2 linked regions of the Daphnia pulex genome follow. The protein of the gene in region 2 purifies or fractionates together with the protein of the main gene of each other region. This does not show direct contact. Links are inferred from orthologs where the notes say so. Each region holds a gene or a part of one and is shown on either strand. Other genes may lie near its edges. The genes, in order: cdc42 homolog and neural Wiskott-Aldrich syndrome protein-like.

The links.
Region 1: the proteins of neural Wiskott-Aldrich syndrome protein-like (region 2) and cdc42 homolog purify together in Drosophila melanogaster (affinity purification with western blotting; 3 studies listed by BioGRID). This does not show direct contact. The link is inferred for Daphnia pulex from reciprocal best matches to the Drosophila melanogaster genes WASp and Cdc42.

The regions. Positions count from the first base shown.
Region 1 is NC_060017.1:3,183,469-3,187,467, forward strand, and holds cdc42 homolog, read right to left. Parts: upstream 2,434-3,999; 5' UTR 2,279-2,433; intron 2,075-2,278; 5' UTR 2,056-2,074; coding exon 1,951-2,055; intron 1,889-1,950; coding exon 1,816-1,888; intron 1,735-1,815; coding exon 1,625-1,734; intron 1,566-1,624; coding exon 1,368-1,565; intron 1,296-1,367; coding exon 1,206-1,295; 3' UTR 742-1,205; downstream 1-741. Other genes in the region: alpha-tocopherol transfer protein-like, read left to right, coding at 1-48; nucleolar pre-ribosomal-associated protein 1-like, read left to right, coding at 3,042-3,071, 3,145-3,366, 3,436-3,963. UniProt on the Drosophila melanogaster protein: Regulates mbt kinase activity and is also required to recruit mbt to adherens junctions. Together with mbt and Frl, regulates photoreceptor cell morphogenesis. Together with Frl, has a role in the neuronal development of mushroom bodies.
Region 2 is NC_060019.1:7,010,971-7,015,510, reverse strand, and holds neural Wiskott-Aldrich syndrome protein-like, read left to right. Parts: upstream 1-1,505; 5' UTR 1,506-1,648; exon of another isoform or gene 1,649-1,665; intron 1,666-1,708; exon of another isoform or gene 1,709-1,854; 5' UTR 1,855-1,873; coding exon 1,874-1,975; intron 1,976-2,043; coding exon 2,044-2,271; intron 2,272-2,343; coding exon 2,344-2,440; intron 2,441-2,501; coding exon 2,502-2,788; intron 2,789-2,888; coding exon 2,889-3,674; 3' UTR 3,675-4,092; downstream 4,093-4,540. Other genes in the region: wiskott-Aldrich syndrome protein-like, read left to right, coding at 1-208; pleckstrin homology domain-containing family J member 1-like, read right to left, coding at 406-639, 708-771, 834-1,003, 1,071-1,206, 1,274-1,323; uncharacterized protein LOC124190376, read right to left, coding at 4,222-4,540.

The sequences.
Region 1 (3,999 bases), on a different chromosome or scaffold from region 2:
TTCTTTGAAGAGGATTACTACTCCAACATATTCGAATGTTTAAATTAAAAATAAGCTTGCTGCTTAATACGTATCAAATTCTATGAAAAAAGTAAAATTAATATATTTGGTTAAAATCACGGATTTATAATCTAAATTTTTATGCTTGCCTTGATTGATGATGATCATATCTTTTGTTGCTAAAAATTGTTGCTAAATAAATATAAATCACAATTATTTTCAACGGATTTTCCGATGTCTTTATAAATTCCGAGAAGAATTTGCATAAAAATTCAGCCGGTTATTGAAAAAAATTTACTTAAGTTGTAATATACAGTAAAAATAAAAACCTTTGGGGAGAGTAGTTAAAAAAAAATTCATTTCGCTGTCGCTGAACGACAGCTTATCAAAAACATGTGATAAAGTTCTATATTAGTTCATACCAACCAGGACTTTTAAAATTGAACTCGTTTTTCGTTTGTAGTAGATTAAAAACTGCTGATACACAAATAAATGACGTCAATGAGCAAATGAGTTGCTAACCAACCGGCAAAACTATTTATCAATGTATGATATGCGCAAGTGCCATACGCAATCTTACTTTCACATCTGTTCCAGCGATCCTAAGCGTCAAAAGTCAAATTCAATCAAATGTTTTACTTATATTAATAAAAATAGTAGCAGATTAGCCATAACATTGCGACGACGCAATCGTCCAATGTAGCGACAATTCTGAACTGACCAGCATTAATAACTGCAAGGTATAAGAGAAAATTTTATTGTATATTCTCTCCTATGCCATACAGACAAGTTTTGCGATGAGGATTACAATGATGAGGCCAAAGTTCTTTTGTTATGCTTACTTCTTTTTTTATGAACAAAGAAAGAGAGGAGAAAGGAAGGAGAGCAACAGAACAGGTATGTGTTATTTCCTAGATCGAGAAGGTAGAGGATGAATGAAAAGAAGATTGGAAGAGCGCGGCAAATGGCCTGCGAAACACGCGCACGCACACACAAAATAATCGAAACGATAATGACACGTTGAAACTGGTTAATGCAAGAACTGGCAAAAAGAACGTATCATCAGTATTTTGCTTTTCCATCTTCTCGTTGAATAATTCCATTGGTTAGTAGCAAGGTGTCATTTAAGAGTGTTTTTTTTTAGCTCTCCTTATTTTATATAAAGGAAATTTTATTTTGCCTGTTTTGCTGTCAATTTGTCTTGCTCACAGAATATTACACCTCCTCTTTTTGATAGGCTCAGGAGGTTCCAGTGCTGCCAAAATGGCTTCGTCAAAGACGTTCTTCAACCCTTTCTGCGAGAGACATAATCCAACAACCATGTTACCTATTTGCGACTATGGAGAAACAGAATTTGCTCGACTTACCTGAGTGAGGGCAGAGCACTCCACGTATTTCACTGCTTTCAGTTCGCGAGCTAGCTTCTCTCCCTGGTCGATAGTGATCACTCTTTGCTTATTTTTTGCCAACTTCTCTACAGTTGCCGCGTCGTCTCGCAGATCGATCTGCGTTCCAACTAACAAGAAAGGTGTCTTCTGACAGTGGTGTGTAATTTCAGGAACCCACTACAAAACAGGAGTGCATTAGTTTGCAGTTTTTTAATGATTGAGCTACTAATATTAACCTTTTCTTTGACATTTTCAAATGACGACGGTGAGACAACAGAAAAACACACCAAGAACACATCAGTCTGTGGATAACTAAGTGGTCTTAATCTGTCATAATCTTCTTGACCTGTTGTCATAAAATTAAGGAAATATTGTTAAGTAACAATGAAAAAAAATATATATAAATGAAGTAGAAAGGAATTCACACCTGCTGTATCAAACAACCCAAGAGTGTAAGGTTCACCTCCAATCATAACAGTGACAGCATAATTGTCAAATACCTAAAAAATGTCAAATAGCTGTTAGAAATAACATCTTGAGAGAGTATCACATGATAGCTTACTGTTGGAACATATTCTGACGGGAACTTGTTGGTGGTGTAAGAAATCAGAAGACAAGTTTTACCCACTGCACCATCCCCCACAACAACACACTTGATGGTCTGCATTGCTCCTTCCTGTCAGACTCTAAAATGAAAGGGAATAGATAACATTAATGAAATGGCTTACACAAAATTAGCAGATCACAACGAGATAAGCGGGCGAAACGAAACTATTCGACAGCCATTTTGATAGATAGGACGCTGGGCGAAAACACACACATAAAAGTGGAGTAAGACTTTGGTTTAAACCGGTCAATGAATAGAACCTCAAATCACTTTATTCACTTACGATCAATATCTTGAAATGTAGTATCAGCACAATTTGCTGAAAAATATTTAATATCCAAAAAAAAGCGGTTGTGGAAGTGACACTTGGAGAATATCAAGGCGTGAACGTCCCTGGTGCAACGTTGCCACTTGTCAGAAAATATTTCAGGACGCCACCGCTTCAACCGCAAGCAGAGCTATAGATACCTGGTCAGTTCATGGCTGTGTTGGCTTCCCTATCCCGGTTTCAGGGTAAACGTAAGCCGATTTTCAGGGGGTTTTAGGGCGGAGCCTGTCAGAAGTTGTGAAGTGGAAACTTTAAAAAGAGCCATCTAGTGATAAGACGTTGAGTTTCAAATAATACTTTCGGCGGCCATTTTTGTGTATTACGTGAAAGAAGCCTAACCATAATTTATGTAAAAATGGTTGGCAGGTGTGCTGTTCCTGGTTGTAAATCAACATATTACAAAGGAAATCAAAAAGAAAATGAGGTTACCCTGTTTGCAATTCCTAAAACTTCATTATCAAAATGGCAAGAAGTAATTCCATGTAGTAATTTGACGAGCACCTCACATATTTGCTCCCGTCATTTTAACGAAAGTGACTTTCAAACAGGGATTGAAATTTTGAACGTGTTCCATCCTTACAAACGGTGGACTCTTAATGCTGGAGCAATGCCCTGGAAACCAAAATTTTCTGTTAAATGTTAAAACCACCAAAGCTGTCCAATCATTGCATTATTTCTTGCCAAAGCTGCAGCCATCGTTCAAGATCCTTCTCACCCAATGTACCGTGCAATCAATAACTTTCTACTGGTATGTTCCTGTTAATTGATTGCAATTTCCTTCTCGTTTAAAACTTAAACGCCATTCCTTTCATTGTTTCTAGGTAAAATCGGCTATGGATGTTACCCAAGTTCCAGAATTTTTCGTCATGCTTCATAACACTGAACTACCTGAACAGAGGTCGCTTCAAAGGAGTTTTTTACTCAGCCTTCTTCAAGATGGCATCAAAAGTCGTCAGGACTATTTAGTGTGTGCTCGAAGAAGAGTCTTTCCAATCCTTCTCTCCTTGCAGCCATCCAATCTATTGTCCGACAAAACTGATAAGGTTATTTTTTTAGTAATTGAATTTTAGTTTGAGATTTCATCGAGACATTTTTCTTTGTTTGATTTACAGCGGCTCATACTTGAAGTCGTACAATCTTCACTTCAGAATTCAATCATTACCTATGACTTGATTCAACATCGTGGCCTTATCATGTGGCTTGACAGCCTCTTGCTGACCGACACCGTTGCAGATGAAGCTAGTCAGATGGTGTCGGTGGTGACGACAATGTGGGACACGCTCTACACTCACATGCTGAAGAAGGGAGAGTCGAAAGAAAAGGACGACGAAGAAGCTATTGCAAAACTTGAACAGGAGGTCGAAATGATGGAAGCCGAAGACGAAGATACCGCCGACAAAACCACTAACAAACCCAAGATGCAGAATGCTAAAATCAGTAGCAGAAAACCTATTTGGAATTTACTTCCTATGCAGCAACAAGTTATTGCTCCCTGGATCATGTGTGAGCTAATGCAGTTGATGGTCAATTTGTGGCATGTACTCTATGAAGCTGAGCCAAACTATGCTACGTTTAACAAATACGCCCGAGTATTATGCTCCGTCGCTTCACACATTCACGAATCCAAAAGCATCATTTAAGCAGCTCAGGAGAAGGATTTGAAGACCGTCCGGTTT
Region 2 (4,540 bases):
ACGAAAAGGATTTATTCTGTACAATGTTGATAACCAATTGATTCAAACATTCTTGACCGGCTTTTGCAACCGAATCAGTAACTGCACACCAAAAGAAAATAACCATCAACGTTCACGGCCACGCAGCTTCAAAAGAAAGAAGATTTCTAAAAACGACATTAGTTTGCCTGTTGATGTCAATGTGATACAGCGGAATAGCCAATTGTAACAAGTGCAAACCAATGCGACGAACGAGAGGCAGTTTTTCTTTGAGCCATTATTTAATGACTAGATTTCGAAAATCAGCCGAACATAACTTAATTTGCTTAATAGAGGAATGTTAATATTAATTACACAAATCTATCTAAATCTCTTTATGATTGGCACGTTTTTTTTAAGTCGGACGGTTGTTTTTTTCATCACTAATCACCATTTGATCAAGTCTTGATCAGGCTGTTTGTTATCACTTATGAAAGAATTTATCGGCAGGGGATTTTCGTCAGACATGTGACTCACAAATGTTTTTGCTTTAGGCCCGATACGTTTTCTGGCTGGGGGCGTAGGTAAAGCGGGAACTGCAGAATTGGAAGGCTGTTTAAATACACTACTTGGTGTAGTACTACTTGATGATGCTGCTGTGGTACTCCATTTAAAAATGCTCTGAACATACCAAAGATTTTATCATTTTAACAATAATTTTCCCTTAAAATTTTTCCTTTTAAACTTACCTTTCCACCAAGACTTTCCAGTTTACTCTCTAAAATTTTGACTTGGATTCTCAAATGTTCATAACTAAATAAAAATTAATTTTATGTCAGCACTGTCCATGTATGAATTATTATGAAAAATTTTACCTGGCTTGCCTCAAGGCTATGACCCAATTCTGTGCTTGATTCACACTGAAGCAAGAGAACACATGTCTGTCTTGATCACCAGAGAAAGTAACAACAAAAGCAAATACCCCAGATCCATCTTCATCAAATGCTACGGAGCAATTTTCTAAAACTATCACACCAATAGGCTCCTGCAAATGAAATTTTAACAGCTTAAAAATGAGACCAAAATTCTTATTTTCTGTACTTCAAACCTACATTTCCTTTAATTCCTCCAAAATTGTTCAAACCGAAGTAAAAAAGAAGATTGCCTGTCAATTTAAACCAGAATTCCTTGAAATTTCCTTTCGACTTTCCCGGATGAAGAACTCTGTAATTTATTCTTCCTTCAATCCTATTTCAAAAAGAATTTTTGTATAATAGTCATCGTATTTATTCTAATACACAATCTAATGTCTCACGTCGCAGGTTTGAAGGAGGTGGTTATTAATTCTTTTCCATTCACATGCATTTTGGTTTAAAGAATCACTGAAAAAAATATATATATTCATCAACAAGATAAAAAATAATGATATATGGAGCAAATCGAATGAAGAGATAAAAGCACAAAAAGATGAAGTTCTTAGAAATGAAAGGCGATCAACATTCCGAACATGAAGTAAACAACTGATCCCAACCCGTGATTCTCATAGCGTTTATGAATTTACCGCTAGATGGAATTGTTTCGTCCTGTCTGATGTGGACCAAACCATTGGACCGTATTGGACTATTTCCTCAAGATAAAACTCTCGTATCTTAAAATTGTGAAACACCGTGTGTAGATCTTCATGAGACTGGTAAGGGAGTGACTGCCGTAAGTGTTTATGAAATAAGCGTATAAATAATAATTCAATTGAATGATAATCGTGAAAAATTCGTTCAAACAATAAGAACTACTTATCCTTATTTACAGTTGTGTGACAGTTACAATTTAATATAAATTTGTCGATGTGTTTACTAGTTTTCGATCGAAAGTTTAATTGACACATTTTGAAAAATCTAGAACCAGTAATAACATTGCCATGACTGCTGCCAAGCGTCCCCAACCTGAAAACAAACCATCATCTATTCTTTCACTAGAAGAAAATGATCAATTATTTAAACTCATTGGCTTGCGCTGCAAAGTAAGTCCCCCCAGTACTAGATTCTTCTAAAAGTCAACATTTAATGTTTTGTAATTTTTCTTTTTCAGAGTATGGCGTCAGCTGTGGTTCAGGTCTGTTTTGCTGATCCACCCAATAGATCCACATGGAACAAACGGCATTGTGGTGTAGTCTGCTTCATCAAAGATAATATCAAGAGATCCTATTTCCTTAGAGTATTTTGCCTCGACAGGCAATCTGCCATCTGGGAGCAAGAATTGTACAGTTCTTTTGACTACTGTGCACCAAGACCTTACTTTCACACTTTTGAGGGAGATGTGAGTCCTGACATTCATTTGATCATATTAGTAAATTACAATATCAATTTGGTTAATATTTTTCGAATGCAGGAATGTCGCATCGGGTTTAATTTTGCTAATGAAGGCGAGGCAGAATACTTTCTGATGGCTATCAAAGAATATTTGAGGATGAAATCGGAGAAACGAGGTGTGTACATTTTGATGTTGACAAATAATGGTTGATTAATAGCTCAGTTGTTGTGTTTTAGAACGCCGTCGTTTATCACAGCAGCAAGTGCAGCAACCGCAACCAGGAAAACCCACGCCAGTCGCCACGAACGGATCGGTACCAAAATCTACAGCAGTACGATCAGCGACAATCACAAACAGTATAACCGTGACAAAAAAAGGGAAGAAAGACAAGAACAAGAAAATTACCAAAGCGGATATTGGAGGGCCATCAGATTTCAAACACATCAGTCACGTTGGATGGGACCCCAATCAAGGATTTGCACTTGACAACGTCGATCCAAATCTGTTGAAGTTCTTCGCCAGAGTAAGACGACTATTTCGCTCAGCATTTCTGTGTTTAACTTTTCTATGGTCTTAACTTAACTTCTGTTATGGTTTAACTTTTTTTTCTTTTGTAATGAAAGGCCGGCATATCGGAGAATCACTTGAAAGACAAAGCAACACGTGAATTCATCTACGATTTTATCGACAAACATGGAGGAAAAGAAGCGGCTATTCGTGAGATTTCGAGTTTACAGTCATCCGGCGGCAGTTTGTTTTCAGCACCTCCGGTGCCAGCAAGGAATCCTCCGTCTACACCTCAGACGGCAAGGATCGCTCCTCCGGCACCACCCGTTTCAGCTCCACCGCCGCCACCTTCAAGAGTGATTGCCTCCCCTCCATCTGTTGCTCCTCCAGCACCTCCTCAACGTGCCCCACCACCGAAAATGGCACCAATTAACAACGTTGCACCCCCACCACCTCCTGTCGGTGCACCTCCTCCTCCTCCACCACCTCCACCGCCTCCTTCATTTGGTGGACCTCCTGCTCCTCCTGTTCCTTCATTTGTTGTTTCGTCTCCGTCACTCCCACCCACTCCAGCTCAACCCGATGTCCGTGGCGCCCTGATGGACGCCATCAAAGAGGGACACAAACTCAAATCGGTGCCGAGTGATGCCGATCAATCGATGAAGAGTGGCGCTAAAGTGCCAGCCTTCGATTCACGCAACGATTTGTTGGGTCAAATAAGAGCAGGAAAGGAACTGAAACCCGTGGAGAAAAAGGCTTCTGTTGTTGCCGTCAGCGACGATGTCATGGAAGGTATGGCCGGTGCCTTGGCCAGGGCCTTGGAGGAAAGATGTCGTGTCATCCATTCCGACAGTGATGAAAGCGGCCAGGACCCAGATGAAGATGACGATTGGGACGATTAATAAAATTTTTGTGAAAATCGTTCCCTATATCAAAAGCAGTCCTCGAGTTTGACGTAGTATTATTTTAAAGAGACTTATTAGTCTTTTATCTTTCACTGGAATTTAATTATTTGCAATATTGCTTCTGCCTAAATCTTCCAGTGGTACAAGCTATCCATTTACATGTTTAAGCCGCACAAAGAATCTTTTAAATAACCGCAACCCAACTGTGACAGCCGTTGCACATATTGCTATTTGCAAGTTAGAGTTAAAAAAAAAATAAAAAAATAATTCATTTGGGTAGTTGTGTGTGAATGATGTGCCTACTTATTAGAATGAAATGTGTTTCTGTTTTATCCTTCTTGTTTTTGCTTTGCCTCATCTACCAATATTCTTTCTTGTTCTGAAATGAATTACACTAATGTCCTATTGTCACACATATGAAGTTCACCCAAAATTCTTAATTAAGCAATAAAAAAAAAATTATTGAATTTGAAGTTCATAGAATTTGGCCGTATTTTGGTGTATTTCTAAATAAGCTAGGAAAAATTACATAACATTTCGGATTTCATACAAATGAATGTAACAAAACCCCACCTGCAATGACTAGCGCCAGGGCTGGATAATGGTGTGTCACTGCCACGCCCAATGCTTTGACGTCATCGTGTGTTTGAATCTGTTTTTGCTTTTCCGGTTGATGGTCAACTCTGGGCTGTGCTGTCACATCTTTTGTCTCCGTCTTCAGAAATTCGCCAAGGCTCTTAACGTTTGAACACGTAATGATTCGGTTACTTGTAGGGTCAGGCGCATTCTGTACGTCACAACCTCCTCGGCTCGAACCCAGAGACTTTCCGGTCACGCCACTCTGCGTTGCTCCGCTGAATTTC